Neodiprion lecontei: one gene and its partners. The protein of the gene in region 2 purifies or fractionates together with the protein of the main gene of each other region. This does not show direct contact. Links are inferred from orthologs where the notes say so. Each region holds a gene or a part of one and is shown on either strand. Other genes may lie near its edges.

What was found. Proteins that work in one complex are often made in the same cells at the same time.
Region 1: the proteins of serine/threonine-protein kinase 3 (region 2) and serine/threonine-protein phosphatase 2A catalytic subunit beta isoform purify together in Drosophila melanogaster (affinity purification with western blotting; 3 studies listed by BioGRID, with this or other methods). This does not show direct contact. The link is inferred for Neodiprion lecontei from reciprocal best matches to the Drosophila melanogaster genes hpo and mts.
Region 3: the proteins of serine/threonine-protein kinase 3 (region 2) and ras association domain-containing protein 4 purify together in Drosophila melanogaster (affinity purification with western blotting; 6 studies listed by BioGRID, with this or other methods). This does not show direct contact. The link is inferred for Neodiprion lecontei from reciprocal best matches to the Drosophila melanogaster genes hpo and Rassf.

The regions. Positions count from the first base shown.
Region 1 is NC_060262.1:7,959,802-7,967,776, reverse strand, and holds serine/threonine-protein phosphatase 2A catalytic subunit beta isoform, read right to left. Parts: upstream 6,009-7,975; 5' UTR 5,841-6,008; coding exon 5,733-5,840; intron 2,689-5,732; coding exon 2,479-2,688; intron 1,971-2,478; coding exon 1,707-1,970; intron 1,610-1,706; coding exon 1,437-1,609; intron 704-1,436; coding exon 596-703; intron 298-595; coding exon 225-297; 3' UTR 184-224; downstream 1-183.
Region 2 is NC_060261.1:34,662,789-34,669,390, forward strand, and holds serine/threonine-protein kinase 3, read right to left. Parts: upstream 4,971-6,602; 5' UTR 4,956-4,970; coding exon 4,834-4,955; intron 4,632-4,833; coding exon 4,551-4,631; intron 4,442-4,550; coding exon 4,261-4,441; intron 4,186-4,260; coding exon 3,958-4,185; intron 3,821-3,957; coding exon 3,502-3,820; coding exon of another isoform or gene 3,499-3,501; intron 3,260-3,498; coding exon 3,126-3,259; intron 3,036-3,125; coding exon 2,873-3,035; intron 2,806-2,872; coding exon 2,714-2,805; intron 2,623-2,713; coding exon 2,428-2,622; intron 2,237-2,427; coding exon 2,057-2,236; 3' UTR 2,050-2,056; exon of another isoform or gene 1,690-2,049; intron 1,010-1,689; 3' UTR 521-1,009; downstream 1-520. UniProt on the Drosophila melanogaster protein: Plays a key role in the Hippo/SWH (Sav/Wts/Hpo) signaling pathway, a signaling pathway that plays a pivotal role in organ size control and tumor suppression by restricting proliferation and promoting apoptosis.
Region 3 is NC_060263.1:7,909,808-7,917,603, forward strand, and holds ras association domain-containing protein 4, read left to right. Parts: upstream 1-1,788; 5' UTR 1,789-1,963; coding exon 1,964-2,003; intron 2,004-2,091; exon of another isoform or gene 2,092-2,214; coding exon of another isoform or gene 2,215-2,245; intron 2,246-2,365; coding exon 2,366-2,460; intron 2,461-2,544; coding exon 2,545-2,675; intron 2,676-3,656; coding exon 3,657-3,732; intron 3,733-3,819; coding exon 3,820-3,960; intron 3,961-4,034; coding exon 4,035-4,214; intron 4,215-4,357; coding exon 4,358-4,861; intron 4,862-4,981; coding exon 4,982-5,264; intron 5,265-5,339; coding exon 5,340-5,559; intron 5,560-5,703; coding exon 5,704-5,764; 3' UTR 5,765-7,577; downstream 7,578-7,796.

The DNA.
Region 1 (7,975 bases), on a different chromosome or scaffold from region 2:
ACGCGACATTATACATGGCATGTAAGGTTTGCTCCAAAAGCCCTACAGTCACACCGATCTTCCTATTATAAAGTTATGTTAGGGTTCTTGGCATATTTATAAAGCCAAATCCATTCTGTTCTCCTACCTTAACAACTACCTCCAGTTTGTCGTGAATTATTTCCTGCTCTATCTTTTCCATTCCTTTTTGTGTTTGGCTGTTTTTTTCTTTTTTTATAATTTCTTTAGAGGAAGTAGTCTGGCGTCCGCCTAGTAACGTGCGGCTCACCGCGTCTCGGTGCTGGATCAAACTGAAGGCTGTAACAAAGAAATTTATATTTTATTACATATTCTTTTTGCATTTCCAATATGTCAAGAGTTTACTCTCGAAGCTATCGACCCCAACTGCAAAATAAATTCTCCAGATTTTTCCATAACTTTCAATGAGAAAGTTTCTTTTTGTTATTGAAATGCTGGTAAACCTTGTATACAAGCCAATTCAATTTTTTTTAGAATCTTCTAACTAGTATGGCAATCGTAAAAAAAGTGATAATATTTTCATTCTAGAAATAAATTCTTTTACAGCAGTGTTACTTTACATAACTCTTATACTCACAATGAATATTTCAATGCATCATCCAGTTCCATAATCGCCGCTTGATTTCCGCAGCGATAGCAATAGTTGGGCGCCGAAAAAATAGTCACAACATTACGATCGTGACACCTGGAAGAAAAATTTTATAGATTATTAAATAATCACAAATTGGTTAGTAGAAATAACAAAAGTGATATTCAACAATCAGAGAAACATCTTATCAACTAAAGCAGGGTTCGTATATTTTTTGGAAATTGAAATCCCCTGACTTTTACAGGTATTCCAGCCTGAAAATCGAAATTTTCCAGCAACCTTCAAAAAATATGCCGCCGATTGCTGACAATTTTTTTTTACATTCAAACTAATACCTTCAATATTACCTAGTAACTATGTTTATCTAATAACTCTATCAATTTACACACAACAGCCGGCGAGTTTTCATAACAAGCAAACGAAAGATAGTTTGGTACTAAGTAAGGAGGTATGTACAATGTATAGTGATGCAAGAAAAAAAATTTTGAGTGCAACTTTCTTTTTCTTAAGTACGATACTACTTTGTATAACAACAAGTTCATTTCTTCGACAGACTCAAAATTCCAGTGATATTTTGAAAACTCCCTGACTTTTCCCTGCTGTAAGAAATTCCCCGAGTTTTTTCGGTTTTCCCTGTGCATACGAACCCTGGAAAAATATGTGATGTATATTCATACAGTTCAGTTATTATTTAAGAATGAATTTTTTTATTGAAAGTTTCCCAACCGATGAACTGCTCTCAATTTATTATTCCATGTATAATTTGTCGAATTGCTAATGTGGTTAATGTGGAGACAGAACTTATTGTTAGCTACAAAAGGAAACTCACCAATTATATCCTTCCATTACCAGCTGATGAGCTCGCGATACAAGAGTTAGACCATTAGAGTGATTGAACGTCTCAGAAATGTCTTGGCCAAAGGTGTATCCTGCTCCACGAGGCGAGATACCCCATCCTCCTCTGTCATCGGGGTCTGACCAGAGTAGATCGCACATTGGACCCTGGAAATCATGATTTTTTTTCCATTTTTTATTACCAGAATTTGATACTGTTGTTATTATAAAAAGGCTCCAAATGGAACAGTATATCAGTACAAACCTCATGCGGAACTTCTTGAAGACGATCCAATGCTCTGATGTGATCGAGAGTATCGATGGAAGGTGATAACCCTCCATGAAGACAGAATATCTGACCATCGACCAATGCGGTGAGTGGCAGATAGTCAAACAGATCGGTAAAGAATTTCCATACATTCGCATTTCCATACTTGCGCAGACACTCGTCATAAAATCCGTAAACCTGTGTAATCTGTCTAGACTCGTGATTACCACGCAAAATCGTTATTCTTTCTCGATACCTCACCTGTTAAATGGTTTACACAATCTTGGAATTATTACTTTGCTTTTTACCATAATCACAACACAATAACAATTATAATCACAAAGATTAATCGAACAGTTTTTAAACTTTGATGTTACCTTGATGTTACCAGATTTTCACTTCTTTAGTCTTAAGAAAGATTACTAGTGTATAAATCTCAAAAAAAAAAATCTGGTTACTTTTTAATATTGAAGTATCAAAATACTCTTTTCTGCATTTTTTACCAAGGCTTATTGCTAATTACAACTAAGCGCAAACAGAAAATATCTTCTCAAATAAATTGTTGAAGTGATTCGTTACTGTTTAACAATTTCACCTTAAATTCACACTGCTTGGATCAAAGTGCTCATCATGGAAATACTGAGTGTTGTTTGTTTTACTATGTTTTCTTTCTTTATCATATAGTTTTATGATCGAAACTGCACTCCACCATTCATTATTATGAATATATTTCTCAAACTCGTCTAATGAATGTCTGGTGATCTCGTACCTTGAGCGCAACAAGGAGAGTAACGGTCTCAACAGAATAATATCCACGATCGACGTAATCCCCCATGAAGAGATAATTTGTATCAGGTGATTTGCCACCTATTCGGAACAGCTCCATCAGGTCGTGAAACTGTCCGTGAACATCTCCGCATACCGTCACAGGACATTTTACCTCCTGAACATTCGACTCCTTGGCCAATATTTCTTTTGCCTGAAAATTAAAAAACAGACTCAAATTATTCTCCAATGTTTACATGCTTGCATAGTCATTATTATAAACACGCTTCATTATGTCATGACTCGAGTATGTTTTAATAATATAACGTAAACTCTGGATGATAGATTTTGAATTTGCAAGAGAAAAAAAAATATGTACAAAACTGCTCCAAGTTTGAAAATACAACAGGCAAGTGGAAGTTTTCAATTTTCCCCCTTATTATGTGGAGTCTATCAATGTTCACTTCGAATAGTACATATAAAATTTCTGACTGATTTTTTTTCTAGAGTTTAAAAACAAATACTCCTGCGATAATAAAAAACTGCAGGCATTGTAGAAATACTGCAACTATGGCCAAGTTGACATTATTACAAGATGCCGATCTATCACTAGCTGATCATTAACATAAAAATGTTTTAAATTCCAAAGTTCCAACAAGTTTGTTTTTGTAGCTTACGCTTATGCTTACAGTGCTGCTATAAAAAGCATAAACAGTATAGAACAACTTGCGAAGCAGCTCACATTACCGATCGAGTTTAATAATCTTCAGCCAAATAAACCCTCAAACAAGTAAGGTTTGATGTGAAACTATACTTTCAAAATTCGAAACATATTTCTACACAATATTTGGTGGAATTATTAAAAAGGTCAACAATTATTAATTGCAAAAAGTGGGAAATCACACAGTTTTACCCATGTCGTAGTTTTCTTTTAATGAAAAATTCAAATTTTATCTAACAAAGAGAGGCGTTTTTATGACCAACCAAAGCTCAGGAACTTATCATTTTACTGTTTTAACGAACTGTTGTTTGGTTATGTTTATACAACAATCATCGTCACGAAAATGTAATATCTTTAGAAACTAATATCAACATGATTAGATCTGGATATTTTCTCTAATTCTCAAAGTTTATGACATATTATATACCAGTCCACTGAATTCCAAGTAAAACTTGTTTTGGATGATCGTAAAACATACGTTAAATCCGGTTCTGGAATTGAACCGAGTTATAACTAAAGAGTTGAGCGATGAGAAAAATTTCTTTCTGTCATAATAGTTGAGTCACTTCTTCAAATTATCTCAACACTGCATTCTGGACATTTGATAATCTGTTAAATACCTATCACTACAGAATTCGAAGTTATCAAAGTGGTTCAGCAAGGCCATACAACTTGTTTACTTATTTCGTGTTTGCAGGAAAAGATTCTTCATTTCACAAGATCAATTTTTAATGTACAAAGAATGATAAGGTGAAAGTTTGTAACGTTCAGGTCATGATCCATTTTCCTGGAAAAATCATCATGTCACAGCTTTAGATTTGTCTGAAATATAGTGAATTAAATAAATATTTTTAATAAAAAAAGTAGAGATATTTTTGAAACTTCTAGCAAGAACATTGAAATTTTATAAAACTTGTCGGAGCTAGCTGAAAAGTTCGCTGGCATGATAAAAAAATGTGAACAAATCTGAATTGACCTTCATTGGCATTAAATTCTTTTTAAATTTTAGGGTCATGATGTAATATTTTTCAGCATTAACTCTGTTGAATGCTGTTTGTTCTACGAACCTTAATACTATAAAATAGTTCTAATAAACCTTGAACTTGATTCGAAAAACATGTTACTTAATTATGAAACAAGGTATTCAATAAGATTTGTTTCTGAAAGTTCAAAGATTTTCCTGAAATTTATAAGGACTCTAGAATGAGGATTATTAATTACATAAGACCATTTTCAACAGGTAACGATTACAAATGATTTCTATCATTCTTGTCTAATAAGAATTCTTTGATTATTTAGACTTTCGAACTAATAATCTACTGTCCCTGAGTGTTTACGAGTACAAAATTAACTAATGACTATTAGGGTTGAAAAATATCGGAATTTTTCCGCAGTTAGACAATAAGAAACAGTGGAATATCTGAATGTTGTAACACAGTAAGTATCCCATGAATTTGGAAAAGGAATAATACAAATAATTCTTATTTTATTTGCTATAAAGTCTTTCGTCCTCAAGTACGTAATAATATTATTCAAAACGGCCCAATCGGTATTTAAATGATCACAGTGGAGCGTACTATGGATTTGACCTAAAATAATCGTATCCAAGGTATCAAATATCTTCTGAGCACAGCGTGGGTATTAAAACGTCAAAGTATTCGCATTTATTTTGACTGTTGTCAGCTGTGAGCAGAAGGGTTTCACAGATACCGACCTTTGAAAGATTGTGTAGAATAAAATATTAGTAACAGGCGTTGATGAAATTGTATTGCAGGAATGTTCTTCGTAGATCTGCTATTCCAGAGAAAATATTGCCCGACGTACGAAATACCGAATATGTAATCCTCTACTGCTAATCTACTAATGCTAAAAATAAGTTAAACTATTGGAAGCGTGAAACGAAGTTGAATTCATTACTATTTGTTTAAAATTTATCGCGACATCGCAGAATGACGTAGTTCGATGTGTTATTCGACAAACAAATGATAAAAAGTGTAATAAAAAATCGTCAGTACATAAAATATACATAGAGAAATAATAAAATCGTTTAAAACAAAATTACTCGTTATTACAGTGTGCGGAATATAACATGTGGTTTACAGGGAAAATGAGCAGCGAGTAAGAGGAAAAAATTCGCGGTGTGGAAGTTAATCCGATTCCGTGTAAAACAAACGGCGGCGTGGTTAATCGTTGGATAATTTTATCCGCCGTGTATTCGAGCTCGGCGAACGGGGGACGTTGGTCGTTAGCCGTAATTCAAGGTGAGTGACTATCAATTTTCGATGACATATCGGCCAATCGTATACGCCTAAGAAGACGTGGGACGATCGGTGATAGAAAGGATTTGGTGTGAAATGTTTGGAGAAGCGAGGGTTGTGTACCGAATAAAATGCTGGATAAGGTTTTTTAGCCGGGAGGCGATGTCGAGGCGCGATAGGCGTGGATAGAGATGCAGATTGTCGGCAGGGAGGAAAGAAGTTAGGAAAGTCAACGGGGAAATGAAGGAACTTGGGGTGAAAAATCTCCGGCCAGCTCACCTTTTCGCACAAAGTTTTAACTTGACTTTCTGTCAGTTGTTTGCACTCGTTCAACTGTTCGATCCATTGGTCAAGCTCTTTCAGAGACGTCACTGCCTTCTCCTCCATCGTTTGGATCTAAGCAATGTTCAATACCCGGTTGACACTTAGCACATGTAACGCAACGGGAAACTATCTTATCAATAAACTAAATCCATTCGATTTCGCTCCGGTATTATTTCAACACAAATATCTCAATCAACCACACACTCACAAAATGGCCGACAAATAGTGATGATCGGGTGACGTCACGTTTAAATTCTTCCGCTCGGCATCGCTCGCCGAGATTCGGTTTGGATCGACTAGGCTGTCTCGCTCTGGCCAATCGTAAAGCATTTTTATTTCGGCCCGCCAATCGGATTCAAAGTATACTCTTGTGGCGAAACTTTGCAGTAAGTGTCACGATCATTTCTTTTGCCCTTAATTATTGTAATTAAATCGAGGGAAGTACCGATATCCGTCAACTTATGATCAGAGTCTATGAAAATTAATGAAACTACTTTTCATTTTGGTCTGTCAGCTATTGGCGGAGCTTCAACTCTGCAACGGTTCGATGGGGTGTGTCGTTTAGATACTATTATGACTACCTGTCGCGGGAGAATTTGAAATCAATTTTGACACGATATGGAATTGGACTACGAAACTGCTTCCGCGAAAATATTTAACACGTTCTGTAATGAATTACAACTGAATTTCCATCTGGTAACCTGTGTATATGATTGTATATCATTTCCTAGAACATTATTTATCTGGTTATACACTTACCTGTAAACATGTGATGCCGGCTCGCGTCTGCATATGCTGATCGCAGTTGGTGCTGCCTCAATTGGTATTTTTACGTTTTTCGTAATTGAATTTAAATTTTAAGACAATTATGTTCGATAAAACGCCATCGTCACAATTGCTTGCCCGTAGTCATAATATGGTTACTTGATGTTACGATGAACTGTACAAGTTTCAAATAATGCTACGCTTGATCTTGCCTGGGTAGCGCAGTAGAAAATTTAAAAAAGTTTGATCATACTTACAGCTAAAAGATTCAGAAATTTGCATTATTTTTACATATGTATAAAACGGCTATATAAATGTTTTGACCATATAAATGTAATGTCTCATTTATTTAACATGAACAACTCTAAGAATTAAAAATTATACAGTCATATTCAATTGCAGAATTGGATATGTAGGATCGAGGATCTATGGAATGCCTACATTGCGGTTTATTTTTTTCATTATTTTTTCTTATAACTCTTCATCAGTTGATTCCGTTCATTCAGAAATCATTGGCAATCTTTGACTACTTCACGAGCAGTTAAAAAAAATCCGAATTGATGGCGGTTGTAATCAAAGTTGGATAGATAGTTCAACATAACATACGTTATTATAGAGAATAAAAATATCAGTTCCGAAGTTTCTACAAGCGATTATCCAATAAATTAAAAAATATTGAAACGTATTAAAACAGATTCATATTGATGTCTGCCAATTTGAAATTTAAAAAAAAACGTATTGCGTAATGAGGAAATCAATCTGAATCGACCTGTGCAAATGTTTGGAATCTTTCTTCATGGATTGACGAGGTTTGAAAAAAGAAAGCAACCAATAGAAAATTATAAAAGCACTAATCTTCGTAATCATCTTCATTTGAGGTAAATTTCAATTTGCATGTAAAATGGAATAGAAATGGATTGGCCTACCGAATTTGTATATCACATGACGAGTAAAATTAAAATTCCGTTACAATCCAATCTGAAAGAAATGGCAAGAAACCAAATTGATTGATGAATTTTCAAAATAATAGTAATCGGTTTTCTTGTAAAATTCTGATTGGTTAACGTCAAAACGAACCTGTACGTTTTATTGTTTTCTCGTGTGCTAGGTGGTTTTCTTTTTTCTGCAGTAATTATTTCGAATTAGTGGCAAGGCGATTAGTTACAGATATCGTAAAAAATTCTGAAAACCACAAATATCATGTCCGCCAGGTATTATAGAAGCAATACGTGGGTATATCAACCAGTTTACAGAGGCTGTAAATACCTATTCGATAAATAACCATAGAACTGTTATTCGAACGACCAAGTTGTAAATCTCATCATGCAGTAGTGAATATTTTCAAGAATTTTCGGCTGTAGATATATTGATTACCGCAACACGGGGGAACATAAAAATTGACATCCCATGTGGAAGATTTCAGTGTAAACTCG
Region 2 (6,602 bases):
ACTTTACAATGGTACACGATTTCTACGTAGGTATAAAAATATACAAGATTATTCTATCCGTGATTATGTGTTCTTAGTGAAAAAAGTACGTGTACTAATGTCAGTTTGACTATATGGTTAACTATATAATACTACATATTTATTATCTAAAAAAATAGTGCAACGTCGTTGATACACTTTATTTTTATAACTCCAATTTGATATTTCATTATTTCAAAATTGATTCGTGCTGCTATACCTGATGATATTTACTTCAATAAGGCAAATATTTAGATATCCCTCCAAACCTGATAGACAAATCAATTGCAAAAAAACTCGAATAAGTCATTTGTAATTAGTATATCGATGAATACTGCCAGTTTATAAATTGAGATACTCGACCTCATTGTCATCATTTGTGACACGAAACTGTTTTCAATCTCACTATAATCCGGAAATTTCCTGCATCACGGACTCAATGATTAAAAGCTTATGCATACTACGGGAGGTGCGAATCTATTGTCTTACCTATCCATACGAAATTAGAAATCTATCCTTCTCCATCTCTACTTATTTGTTGTTTTCTTTTTGTTTTGTTGTTTGTGTTTTTTTTTTTGGCACATCGGTATGTATGGTAGGTAGTGTAAGTGCAGAATCACTCAAACTAAAACTATTAAATGCTAGTTATTGAGTTACGAGATATGTATTGGGTGATATCTGTTTTGTCGATTTAAAAAAAAAACTCACCGCGTACTAAAAGTGCATACTTCTAAAATGAGCTGATCATGGGAAAGTTACGCAACAATATTATTCAAGACAATTCGAAACCCATCCGATACACTTCTCTGCCTTCATAAGGACAAAACTTGGCCAGCAAGATCACCGGGATGTGCAGGTAGCAGAGATCCATTGTTTTACAATGCTTGAAGCGCAATGTCGACACGTTGATATGGGTATACATATGTATGTAAGCATGCTCAGGCGTCGGGCAAGACAGTTTCTCGTGCAAACATTAGCCTGAAGCGTCATACTGCAAATCAAATAAAGGCAAGTTAATGTTGCTAGATTAAAAGATTTTTTTTTAAAACTTCGGTCAGCATTGAATAAGACGTATTTTCACCTGAGTAAAAAATCTAGCTACTCTCGGCGTTGTATTAGATGCATCCCAATAGCAAATCGTATATGTACACAATATTATGTACAAACGGAAAAAACAAAACAACTCACCTCAAACTATATGTTTTTTAGTACGCCGGTACATGTGTTCGTTGAAATAAATAACTTTCAAAGTGTTACCTTTAGCAGTGACCATTTGGTTTGAGGATAAAAAAAATATGTGCCTGAATATCAAAGTAATTCAATCTTTCATATCGTAAAACAGTGCGACAAAGGGTTATTAAGAACAAATAATGTTAATATTTCATCGGTAAATTTTTAAATCACGACACCACTACTATTAAAAAATGTGATATCAGATATGTGCTGGGTAAATAGTAAAATGGTAAAAATGTAATTGCATGTAGTACAATTTTCGGTTTAATATGAATAACAATGATTGAAAAAAACGGATTCACTTGAATCAACCGATGATACTGGACACGATTTATTTTCTAAATTGACTTTATATTTAATTCGTGTATATAATGTTTCTATAAGAATATTGTTTGTATAACAGTAAGTAAAGTTAACATATGTAGTAAAAAAATTAAGTATAGTTGCGATTCCATATTTAATTTGTGTAAAATAATTTACATTGAGTGACGTATCGCTATTACACTAATAATATTATAATAGATTGTAGATCCCTAGATTCACGAAAAAAATATTCATTACTAGAGAAATTTTATTGCAGTTCTTTTTTTTTTAATGAGGTATTAAAAAATAGAATATAATGAATTTTTATTAGTGAAACTAGGTTTTGAGAACGCATAATTATAATCTATTCATTCATTTATACAACTGTACACACTTTTTATCTCTCTATCACGCTCGATTCTATTACTTCGTCTAGCAGAAAACAATTAGGAAACAAAGTTTAAAAAAAATATGTGTATATCAATAAAACTATACCGAAGCGTTAGAAGTTTTGCTGACGCTTTCGCTTGGTATCCATGGCATCAAGAATTGGCTGCCTCTTTGTCTGGTACCTCCGTCTTAATTCATCTATCTCACGTTCCATTTCTGCATCCAGGCTGGCCATGCGTTGCTGCAGCTCCTCGTATGAGAGGAACTTCAGCTGAAGGACATGCTTGTTTATCTATATTGAATTTTCGTTATGATGCCTATGACTGCGTTTTTTAAATACATTTATATTGAAACATGTTTAGTTATAATTTCAATAATGAAGCTGATGGGTCTTCCCATGATCCAAATGTATCTATTGACGTCAATTATGCAGTAGAAAGTTTGTTATTCTTTACAGTGGGAAAAATTTAAGAATATACTTACAAAATCAAAGTCTCGTTCTGTGAAGGCATTTTGAAATTTCGATATGTTATTGTGAGCCGGCTCTTGCACAGGACATGATATTTGATTGAGTTGTAGCTGTAGATGGCTTTGAAACCTTTGAGATTCTGTTGGACTCTGTTGTTCCACTTTAGGTTCTGTTTCTGTACTATGTGCGGCAAGAATGTGGCCATTGTCCTGAGAATAAGAAACAAAATCTCCTTTAAAAGTGCCAATACTCCATAACAAAAACGGAACACTGAGAAAGTTACAATAAATTTGAACTCACATTGCCAATCTCAGTTGCTTCCTTCTTGTCAAAATGATCAAGAAATAAGGGACGATACTTCTTTCCAGACTCCACTGATCCTGTGTTATGCCCTGTAGAAGGTAAATTAACCATTTGAAGACAATGTCTTGCTCCATAAGTCAAAAGCAGTATACCCACTTTTCATCGTTGCTTCTGTGTCCGTGTCACTATTAATAACCATTGTTCCTAGATCCAACATTGCAGAAACTAGAGTGCCTGTGTCAGGGAGATCTACACCTGGTACCAAGGTCCCGACATCTTCTGGAAGGGGTTTCATAGTTCCACTGCAGTCTTCTTCGTCCTTCAGGTGAGAAAATTCAATGAGCAATGTGAAAAAATAATTGACTTTGTAAATTGTTGAGTAGTGAATCGAGATGGAAGTATTTTTTACCGAATCATCAGCATGATTTTTTCCCTTAATAGCCACATTATTAATAACGTGTGCTCGGTTGGTCTGTTTTTCTCTAATTTCATGTGCCTCCGCTATCATTTGACTAAGGATACTTGGCTGCTTCGCATTGCCTTCAACAGTTCAATAGTGAAATTGATATAAGTAAAAGAAAACCTGAGTTTTGTTAACAAGTATATCAAAGATATTTATTGTCATTGGTATTAAATTTGAATTTGTTTGTTTTTGATATGTAAAACTCATACTATAAAAAAATGTCAAGGCAGTCCTGAGTTACATGTATCGTGATTCGGGTTGTTTCATTAATTACTGACTTGAGACTTAATTCAATTACTTGCATGAAACACAGTACGACTACCTATAAATTCATGACTGAGCAGTTCAGTGGCTGTCGCCCTTTCTTCAGGGTTTTTGACGAGACAGCCACTAACGAATTCTATGAACTCTGCACTCCATTTGTCAGGTTCTCTAAAACTTGGTGGGGGTTTGGTGGGGATCATGAAAATTGCACGCATTGGATGAATGTCACCATATGGTGGCTTTCCTTCTGCCATTTCTAGAGCTGTTATACCCAATGACCATATATCCGCGACGCAATCGTATCCAATCTCCTGAATTACCTCCGGTGCCATCCAGAACGGAGTTCCGATAACAGTGTTGCGCTTAGCCATAGTATCCTATAAACAAGTGGGCCAACATTTTTTTAAAATTCGCAACACTGATTGTAAGTAAATGTGGATGAATTTTTTTTTTTTCTTTGCTTTCCGTCTAATTAGGTGTCAAATTTTTCTGTTTCTTTGTTAATTTGTTTCACCGTTAACTGTCCAGCTACACCAAAATCAGCCAGCTTAGCATGCCCCTCAGTATTGAGTAAGATGTTTCCGGCTTTGATGTCCCTGTGGATTTTCCTCCTAAGATGGAGGTATTCAAGACCCTTAAGAGTATCACATAATATCGTAGCTATCTCATCCTCTTGCAGGGTTTTCTTCCTCAGCCTCATTATATCACTGACAGAACCGGCGCCACAATACTCCATAACAATCTGTAATAACAAATCATTTCACTATCATTGTTCGAACCGATAACATTCACGTAACTCACGAAATTCAATTCATACCCATAAATCCGTGTTCTTGAAGTAACTTCCATAGTATTTCACTACATACGGTGAATCGCATTGCTGCATTATTGAAATCTCCTTTATTATCTCCTGTAAATCCGTATCCACAGGTACTTGCTTGATCGCAAGCACCTGCCCGCTCTCTTTGTGCAATGCTTTATAAACGGAACCATAAGATCTGAAACAAACATTGAGCCATATCTTAAAAGACATCCAAATTATACTAAATTAGTATGGCACACTAATAATTAGATTACTAAGTAGAATTCTCTCAAAGTAACGCTCACCCTTCACCAAGCTTGCAGATTATGTCAAAAACCTCTTCGGGTTGTCGTGTCAAGCTTTCCTCGGATAACTTTTTCAACTCACTGTAAAGGTAGAAGGAATTTTTTAGCGTCTGTTCAAAATTTTAATCTCTCTGATTGTAAGATGGCTTTGTCATATTGTTTCTAAAAATAAAGTAATCCAATGTCATGTTTGACAGACATAGAGGTTGGACTTAAATCAAAGGTGGTTCATTAGAGATTGGAATGACGTATTGTAAATATTTGACAAGATTTGCGTACATACTATCTGTTTGCAAAACCTGAGAAGTAAAATAAAGATTGACCCAAAGGCAAGTTTGGAGTGGGAATATATTTTTCCGTTAGTTCATTCCTTGAGAGAATGGACCTTGGAGTCAGACTAGACATGTATGAAATTCATTAATGCAACTTAATCGGTTGAAGAACATAACAAATATATTGTGAACGGAGTAAGCAATGAAGAGTAGTTTACAGTGACAAAGGTTAACAAAGAAAGAAAACAATTTTAGGTTTTCGATAGTACTGTTATTGCTAATTTGTAAATATGTAATTTTCGAGTGAAATGGAGATTGTTTGGAATAATTTACAGCTTAACTGTCTTTCTAATTATTGTTTTGAATCGTCGGCATCATTTCGAAAATTGGAACTATTTTGACGCATACATATAAGGGTAGGATTCATTCGGGTCCAGATAAAAAAAAGGAAAACAATTAAATAAATATACATATATACCTTTTAGAAGACATCTTCGTTTTTACGTCAGTCTAATATTAACTTGGATAAAAAAAAAAGAACACACATTCACTACGCAAATAACGAACTAATACGTCAAAAATACACTATACGTTGATAATAAAATCATATTCAATTCAAATAACTAATATTACATTTTTTGACAATAAAATTAATTTTAACCACAACTGAAATATCGAAACCCTTGATCAAGACGTCCATAGACTTTCAACTCTTATTTGTCTGTAACCGAAGCAAATATATATTTATTGACTAGCTGTATAGTTAGACTGCCTTAGTTCATTATAACTCCGACTGATGTCAGAGTGAGGGGCCGAATAATTACTTCAGTCAAAGTTTCAAACGTTTCAAGCGTTTCAATCGAGCATTTTACAGTCGAAAGGTCTTTACAACTCATTATCTTTAATCACAGCTACCGTATGAAGGAAAATTAATCAATTATGAAACACATTAATCATCGATATTCTTGCAAGTAACAATCGGAGACTTTTTATCTGTGCCTAAATAAGAGTGGCTTTTCACACGGTATTATTCTCATCCTGAATAACGGTACAGAGGATAGCCTACGAGGGAAGAGAAAGAAGAAAAACAGAATTACGATGCCAATTAAGACCGATGTTACCGTGATGCAAAAATCGGTTACGTCTGATCATATTCTATTTCTCCCTAGATGCCCTGTTCGATTTCAACGTTCACGGATATATCTCCAAATATCAAAGGCCACGTATCTCGAAAACGAAAAAATACTTAATAGCCTTATTTTATACACAGTTCTGAACAAAAACAGTCCTAGACATTTTTCATTTGACGCAGAAATAAAGAAATGGCCCAGATTCTACGAAATCGAACAGTCAAATCGTAGAATTCATACCATATATTTCTTTATTTCTGCATCAAATGAAAATGTATTGGAGTGTTTTTGTTCGAAATAGCGTACAAAATAGGGCTGTTAATCCTTCGTTCGTGTGTGAGATAGGTGGACTTTGATATTTAGATCAGAACCTATGTTCAACTCGTCAGCTTTCGAACATTGTAATTGTTGCAAACAAGCGTTCGATTATCTCTCTTCCAAATCATGGATTTTCGAAACTCCCGCGTCTACGAGTCCGAAGTGAGCGGTGTATCGTTTAACGGGCAGGCTAGCAGGCGAGCACGTAAGCCTCTCGTCGGAAATCCAAACTACTCTCGGCGAGCCAGCCGTGATCAGTGTGCGTGCGGTGCTCGTAGAGTATGGCGGTAGGGTTTAGAGGAGGTAGCGTTGTCGGGGCGATCGCGATCCAT
Region 3 (7,796 bases), on a different chromosome or scaffold from region 2:
GAGAACCCGGTACTCGAAATCTGCGGAGCGCGATTTTCACACGTCCGCTCTACTGCGCGGTTGTTTCCACACTGAGGAATTCGGCTAGCTGATTTTAGCTCGATGACGTCAAGAGAAAAAAAATTTTGAGTGACGTCACTTTCTGAACATCCTAACATCCAAACTTTTGTTTCGAACTTCAATACCATGTACGAAGTATGATGTATGATGTACGATGATATGATATGATGTAGAATGATTTTAGTTTTCACATTTCAAACAAGAAATACGCACTTCATCTTTCGTGCCGATTCCAGACTCATGCGGCTAGGCCTTTCGATGGTCAGCCGTTGACTAAAGATATATTCTTCAGTTAACGGGGGTGCTAATAACGCTGTCGTTCCGCGACAGTTGAATGATAAAAATTGTTGCTCGTACCTCTCAAATGTGTGTTAAAATACACTCAAAGTTTTAAAAAGCTTCGTTCTATCTCTCCCTATAAAAAAAAAGTCTTTTACAATCACCTTTTTAGGTTTTTAAATCAGGACACTGCGTTAAATACTGTCTCATATACGGAGCATCTCGATCAAAATTAGCGCATCCGTGATCTATTACAGTTACTCTGAATTTTTTTCTACACGAACACTTTTCGAGAAACAATTCTGCTGATCTACCCTACATAGATATCTCACTTGCGACTAGCTAAAACAGCGTTTCAATTCTATGCCTAGAAAATTCAAGATCGAGAGAGCAAATGATAAGTTGTTGGAGTAATTATGAATATCACTGTTATGGGATACATCGAGCGCGTGTCGAATAGAATAATTTTTTTATTTTAATATTGTAGACGTATTATTGTAGATAATCTAGTTTGTCTCGTGGAAAATTATAAAATTTATAGTATGCATCACGTATGAATCGTAAATGGATCATATACCTATATTAATATCGTACATGGACCGCATATACATATGTATTTTTTGGTCTCTGCATGATTATTACATCTGATCTATTGTTATTTATGATCCATGTATACATTCCTCTCTCAGGTACCTATACTTTAATTAAATCACTGTTTTGCTACGAATTTTGGAAGAAATTTATTCTCATTATTAACTTCTTGTATCGCCGGCTTGGGTTTACCATTGGGAAGACTGTGTTACTCGGAAGGTGAATGCAGCCAGCATCATGTCGAAATCGGTAACTCTGATGTTCTGCAATAAGTTCTCAACTCTACCGTTGGACCATCTCAGGGGACGCAAGCGCACAACGATTTTCGTTTTTCACACCAAAGCCCATCAGGGCAACAGTCTATATTCTTCAGTCAACACCCGACGAAAACTGGTCACAAAAATTTAACCAGGGATATCCGTCTTTATATTCTTCAGTCAATGGATCAGCGTGCACAAAATGTGTACGGATGAATTTTCGAAAAGCATAAGCATCAAATTCCAACCGTTCTTTAAAGAATAAACTTTCCAACTCAATAACAAATGCTACCTCAACCTTTCCGAGTCACTACCTCAATTATTTAAGATTCTAACCTCGAAAATTCGTACAAAGTATACCGCCAACAGAAATAGTTTGACAATTGAAACTCGGGATCATGGAGACTTACTCTAGTCTCCATGCTCGGGATGGCCAGCCTGAATGAAGAGCCGACAAGACTCGCGCAAGCGCAGTTGATTTTCAACTTTCAAGAGATTTTCTCGGTATACTCACCTGGTTGCGTCGACTTCAGTGGCGTTGACTGAAGATATCGTCCACGGATATTTAATGAGAAATGGCTGCGCGTGGGCCGCGCAGCATTCGAGTTGCGTGCGCATGCGCAAATGGGAGGACAACAGTGCAGTGACGTACCGCGTGTCATTTCAGATGCAGGCTCGACTCTGGTCTGTATGTAATTTTGTAAACAAAATGCAGTAAAATATCAGTGGTATATCTTGATGAACAATTTTTACCGTTGTTAACTGCGATTATCAACATGTGGAAGTGTCACAAATGTGGAAAACCTGTCTACTTCGGTAAATATACACATAAAAAATGCAAACGCGAATATTCACCAGTTTTTTTTATTTTTTTTTTTTATTTCTTACACTCTGTCACTTGAGTAGACAAACTCCAGAGTTTCGTTTCCTCACTCTTTCCACATCTATAAGTCATAGAGTATGAAGAAAAGAAACATAACAAACCTGATTTCACACATTTTTCTGGTAGTTTGTAAATATTCTTCTGATGCACAGCAGGGTCTCATTTACAATTCAAGGTAGTAAGTGGCAGGTCATTGCACTTTGTTTTAGGTTATGTCTATTCCATATAGTGATGAGGATTGTTTTTTTCCTTAGTTTTTTCTTCTCTTTTCTTTTCATATTGTATGATCTTCCAGCCGAGCGGAAACAATCTTTGGGTTACGACTGGCATCCAGAATGTTTACGGTGCGAAGAATGTGGCAAACGATTAAATCCTGGACAGCATGCTGAGGTGACAATAAGTTTTTCATGCTGGAATATTTGCAGTTGAACAAAAAAATATCCTCATTACGTTCCCGTTCTTTCTGCATTTCAGCATAAAGGAGTTCCTTACTGTCATGTACCCTGTTACGGGGCTCTCTTTGGGCCCCAGTTATTCGGACACGGCACAAGAGTGGAATCTCATACAAGCTTTGGGAAGAAAGAATCTCGATCAACGTTGCCCAGGTAAAATATACTCTGTTAAGCGATTCTAGATTAGAGTCTCAAATTATAAAATTATTCCATTTTTATTTGAATAAAAAACTTTGTTGAGATGGAGTTAATTAAGAGCAGAAAGCTTTAGAATTCACGAAGAAACTCCAAGTGTTTTGAAATGAAAACTTTTTTCATGTGTTAAAAGGGAATTTGATATGAAACAAGTCAGCAAAGAACATAAGTGTATGATAAAAAATCTTCAGAATGACAGTATTAATCATTTTGAAGTTAGTAACATTATGGTAACAATTTAGCCTGCTTAGGAAAACCATTATTTCGCAAATTTTAAATTGTCTGTAATTCACTGTACTACTGAGCAAGATATGCTGGTGTTTTGAAAATTTAACTCCTTTAAAGTTATTGCAAAATTGCAAAACAGATAATTTTTTTCTATGTTTCATTCCAATAATAACATTATTAATTTCAATTTCATTGATATTATGAGTTGTGTGTCTGCTCATGGAATATTTGGGTAAAACAATTGAAACAAAGTATTTAGATATTCGCAGATGTATAATTTGAGTAAACTTACCATTAATTCACACTGTGTGATTGACTCGAAGAATTTTTATCTTATGCCAATTGTATGATAAATTTCACATCATAGAATACGTTTTCCTGTAACGGCTTAACGCAATTGTGAAAGATACAGTTTAGAAAAAACGAAAAAAAAATTCAGTCTGTGAATAAAAATAATTCTATAGTAGTATTCCTCTGAAAGCGACTAGAGATTATAAATGATGTAGATTGTACTTGTTTCTTGAGAAATTAAAGTTTCATGGACTTTTTACTCATACCATTACTTGTCCTTTTTGTTTTGTAGATTGTCATGTGATAAGCTGAGTTCTGTATGTTTTTTTTTTTCTGAATGTGGGAAACCGCAATCCACATTAATCAATAAATTGTATTATGATTTTTCCTTGTATCTAAATAGTTCATTTTCACATTTAGGTCTCATTTAGAATCAAAGTTGAAGTTGTTCAATCAGTATTATGAGGGTAAAAGTGGTGGGATCAGAAGTCGTGAGGTTTGTGAAAATTCTTTGAATACACATTTTTTTTTTCCTACCTTCGTAAGTATGCCAAAACAGATGATTGATTCTTTTTCAACTCAGGTAAATGGCAGATTAATACTGGAAGGTGCACTGAGAATTCATTGGGGAGTTCGAGGCGTTATCCACCTTAAAGAAGATGATGATCAGCGCACAGTTGTCACTGCAAGAAATCGAAATTCTTGTAGACAGAGTGTTTCAGAGGTCTGAAAAATGTATAAAAGTAATCCAGAATAACCAAAACTAAATCAAAAATTAACGTTTGAGTTCTTTTTCAGGATGGAGGAGATGACGACCAAGTAGATGCCACGTCGAAGGATAGCTCCCCACCTGAGACTGAAACTGAAAGTGAACCAAACTCAGTTCCAGTATCTCCCGATCACCCGAAAAGTCTTACACTTCCGATGAAACTCGACGTCAAAAATATGGAGTGGGATGAACTAGATGAACTTCTTCAGGTATTAAATATCTCGTAATTATAAGCGTGAATTAGAGATAAATCTTGACCGTAAAAAGAATGCTTTTGACCCATGAAATGTATAATATACGTAATACAAAAATGTGTTTACCGACTAAACGCATGTACTCACTCGATTTTCAGGTGGAGAGGAAGGTAGAGGAGGGCAACAAGCTGTATCAAACTATGCCAGTTGGCTTGCCATCAATTAGCTCTCAACCCGGTGCAGATTCGTCTGAGGTGAAAGTTCACTCTACCGTTGAAGGACATGTAGAAAATGTTGAATCGAGTAATCTGTCTCAACAAGCTGTGAAACATATCGTCGACAATGACAGCAGTATAACCAGCACACCAACGCATAGTATGGATAGTTCATCTAGTACAGACACGCCAAACTATCAAGGAACACCGAACAGAAATGGGACCCTTCGTCGTGTCGAGTACTTTGATAGTTTAGAGAAGAATATGGGTGCCAGTAACAGAACTTTGAGCAATGATGATAGCTGGATCGAAAAGGGTTTGAATCGTTCGATGTCCGGTCCTGATTGCTTGCAGAGACATCGCACGGACAGTGACACTGATTCAGTGAATTCTCTTCATTTTCGCGACGACGATAACATGACAATGTCGACCGACAGTGGGTTGGAAGTGAGTATCTTTCAAAAGGCTTACTCCTACTTGCGAGCAATTTAATTGATAGGAATATAGATGGAGATAAGATACGATCGACCGGTCAACAGAGCCAATGAATTCTTGAGTATTTTTCAGCTGGACGGAGTTGTTTTGCGGCGTAAGCCGGGATCGACTGCCATAAGACGTCGACCAGGTGGAAGACGTCAGTCACGTAGTCGGTTAAGGAGGCGATGTTCAATCAATGGTCACTTCTACAATCGAGAAACGAGTTTTTTTACGCCACCGCATGGATCACAAATGTCTGTTTGGGTGACAAGTCTGGTTAGCACTCAAGAGGTTATAAATTTGATGCTCGACAAGTACAAAGTGGACGCTAAACCGGGCAATTTTGCACTATTCGTCGTTCGTGACAACGGCGGTAAGGGATAAAAAATACCTGTTCACGAATTATTACACATTTGGCAAACCCATATCGTGAAATACAAAATTTCAGAACAGCGAAGATTGAGGGACGACGAATATCCGCTGGAAACGAGGGTGGTACTGGGACCCCATGAGACCGTTGCTCGGCTCTTTCTTGTCGATCGTTTCTCAACTCCGGAAATCAGTTCCGACGTCGCGCAGTTTTTGAATCTCTCCGCCGCTGAGTGTTCAGGCATTTTACAACGGTATCATTATGAAGAGGACCGCCAAATAGCTCTCCTGAAAGAAAAGTGAGCATATTTGCGTTGCCCCGAAAATCAAACTCTTTTCGTCTAATATTTAAATCAAGGATGAGTACCGAGTACAATGTCGTTGTACTTAAAAATTAAGAAATCAGAAATAGTTCATATTGTTCACTTGCTTATCTTTTTCAGATACAAAGAAATGAGACGGAGAATAATGCAACGAATGGACGAGCTAAAAGTTCGACTGTAATGGGATCTGAAACATGATAAGTATTGTAATGATCAAATAACTCAATTGAAGAGAAATTTATATGAATAGTTTGTAGGTTTTTTAATTTCATCAAGGATTATACCTTGGGCATAAGCCATGTTGGTTACCTTGTGCTCATGTTTCAAAAATTATTCAATCTTTTTAATACATACCCACTAATATTATTATTAATATTATTGTTACTATTGCCAGTTTCGTCGACTTGTAAATTTCGAAAACGTTCCATGCAATTGGATACTTTATATATCTAAACTATCGAACAGTATTTAGTTCATAGATAATATTGTCTGTTTTAATTTTTTACTCGTATTCTCTATTTGTCCGTTATATGAGATTTGCATCACTATATACCAGTGAACCGATCAATAGCTGATACACTTTACGCTTCCGCTGTTAGGTTGGTGCGTAGATTTTTAAACTAATTTTAATGGATTTTCTCAATTCCACCCCTGTAGCGGACTTATTTAATAATAATTTTTGTTTATTTGATTTTTTACACGCTACTCATGAAAATGATCGTAGAAAATCAATTGAACATTAGGTAGCTCTATTGAATTAAGAATATGTATATTAAGATAAGAAAATGACAAAAAAAAAAAAACATGAAACAAAAAATGACAGCTGTTATATGAAGTTGCCAAGAGCCGAATGTCGTATTTAATTTTCATTTTAAGATTCGAACAATTCCTGTTAAAATTTGATAACAGTCTTTTAAGGCGCAGACAATTACTCTAAATTTTATATACAGAGTTTGTTTATATGCATGTGGGAAAACATTTACAAAATTCTAGAGAATTCCTTATCTAACCGAATCTTAATAATTTGAATTGGAACCTGATGCGTTTGTTCTAAATTAGCTGTGATCGATTGTGGATAATTATACTTACATTATTCGAAACCCTGTAGACTGTACGTAATCTCAATTATATGAACATTCTGGACGTGGTGTGAATGAATGCCTTTCGTCATTTGGTGCTTTTCCTGCCTACATTCTTCGGCTTGCAACCGAGAAATGGTTGAAATTAAACCGTTATTAAGACTTTCTTGCAAATACAGTCTATGAGTTGCCTGACGATTGTTTAACTACAGTCTTAAATCTTGTGCAACGAGACATATTACTCGCGAAGCTGCTTGCTTAAAAACTTTGCTAGAAGACATTCTGATTGCTCGTTATCTATAAATCTTGTAGCATGTAGCGATGACTCATTGTGGCATTTCAAAATGTTGCGACAATGCAGTTTCTTCCCTAGATATTCGTTTTATGTCCTCACGATATGCAGACATATATTTTGAGCAAAAATTGCGAGAATTTACACAACATATAGTTATACGTATGATACCTAATTTTTATAAGAATTTTTCTGTATAGACCAACTTCTTCTGAAATTTTCTCAAATTGTGATCTAGAGTATGGGTGTGCGTGCATTTGATTGTGATTGTGATTGTGTAGCTTTGATTTAAATTTGAGTAAAAATATTTCCTTGATCTAACTAGCCCAATTTTGTACAATGATATCTATACCAATTCTTTCCTCCTAATTTTCGGCTAACATTAATTATTGGCAAGTAGTATTAAATTTCTTTACATTTCATGACAAAATAGTTAAATAGTGTATATTTAACACGGTACCATGACTTTCTTTTAACGAATTACGTTTCAGTACTATATGTAGATAAACGTAATTGGCATTAATAAAAATATCAATAAATTGTAATATAATTATATCACGGACAATATTGTACGTCTATATAAGTTGAAAAGAAGTGTAATAAAGTAATGCATTTGCCACTCATCTATATAGTTTCAATGTGAGACCCAAAATTTTTTCAGTTGTTATTCAACAATCACATTATCGCAACGGTCGCTATACAGTAGAAGAAAAAATCGACGATCTCCTGAACCGGTGTCACATTTTCGTACTATGGCATAGTTTTAAACGATAACGTAAGGATGCTGAAATACCTTTGAATATCTGCAGTCAATACTGTGCCCAGACCGATGGTTTCTTCAG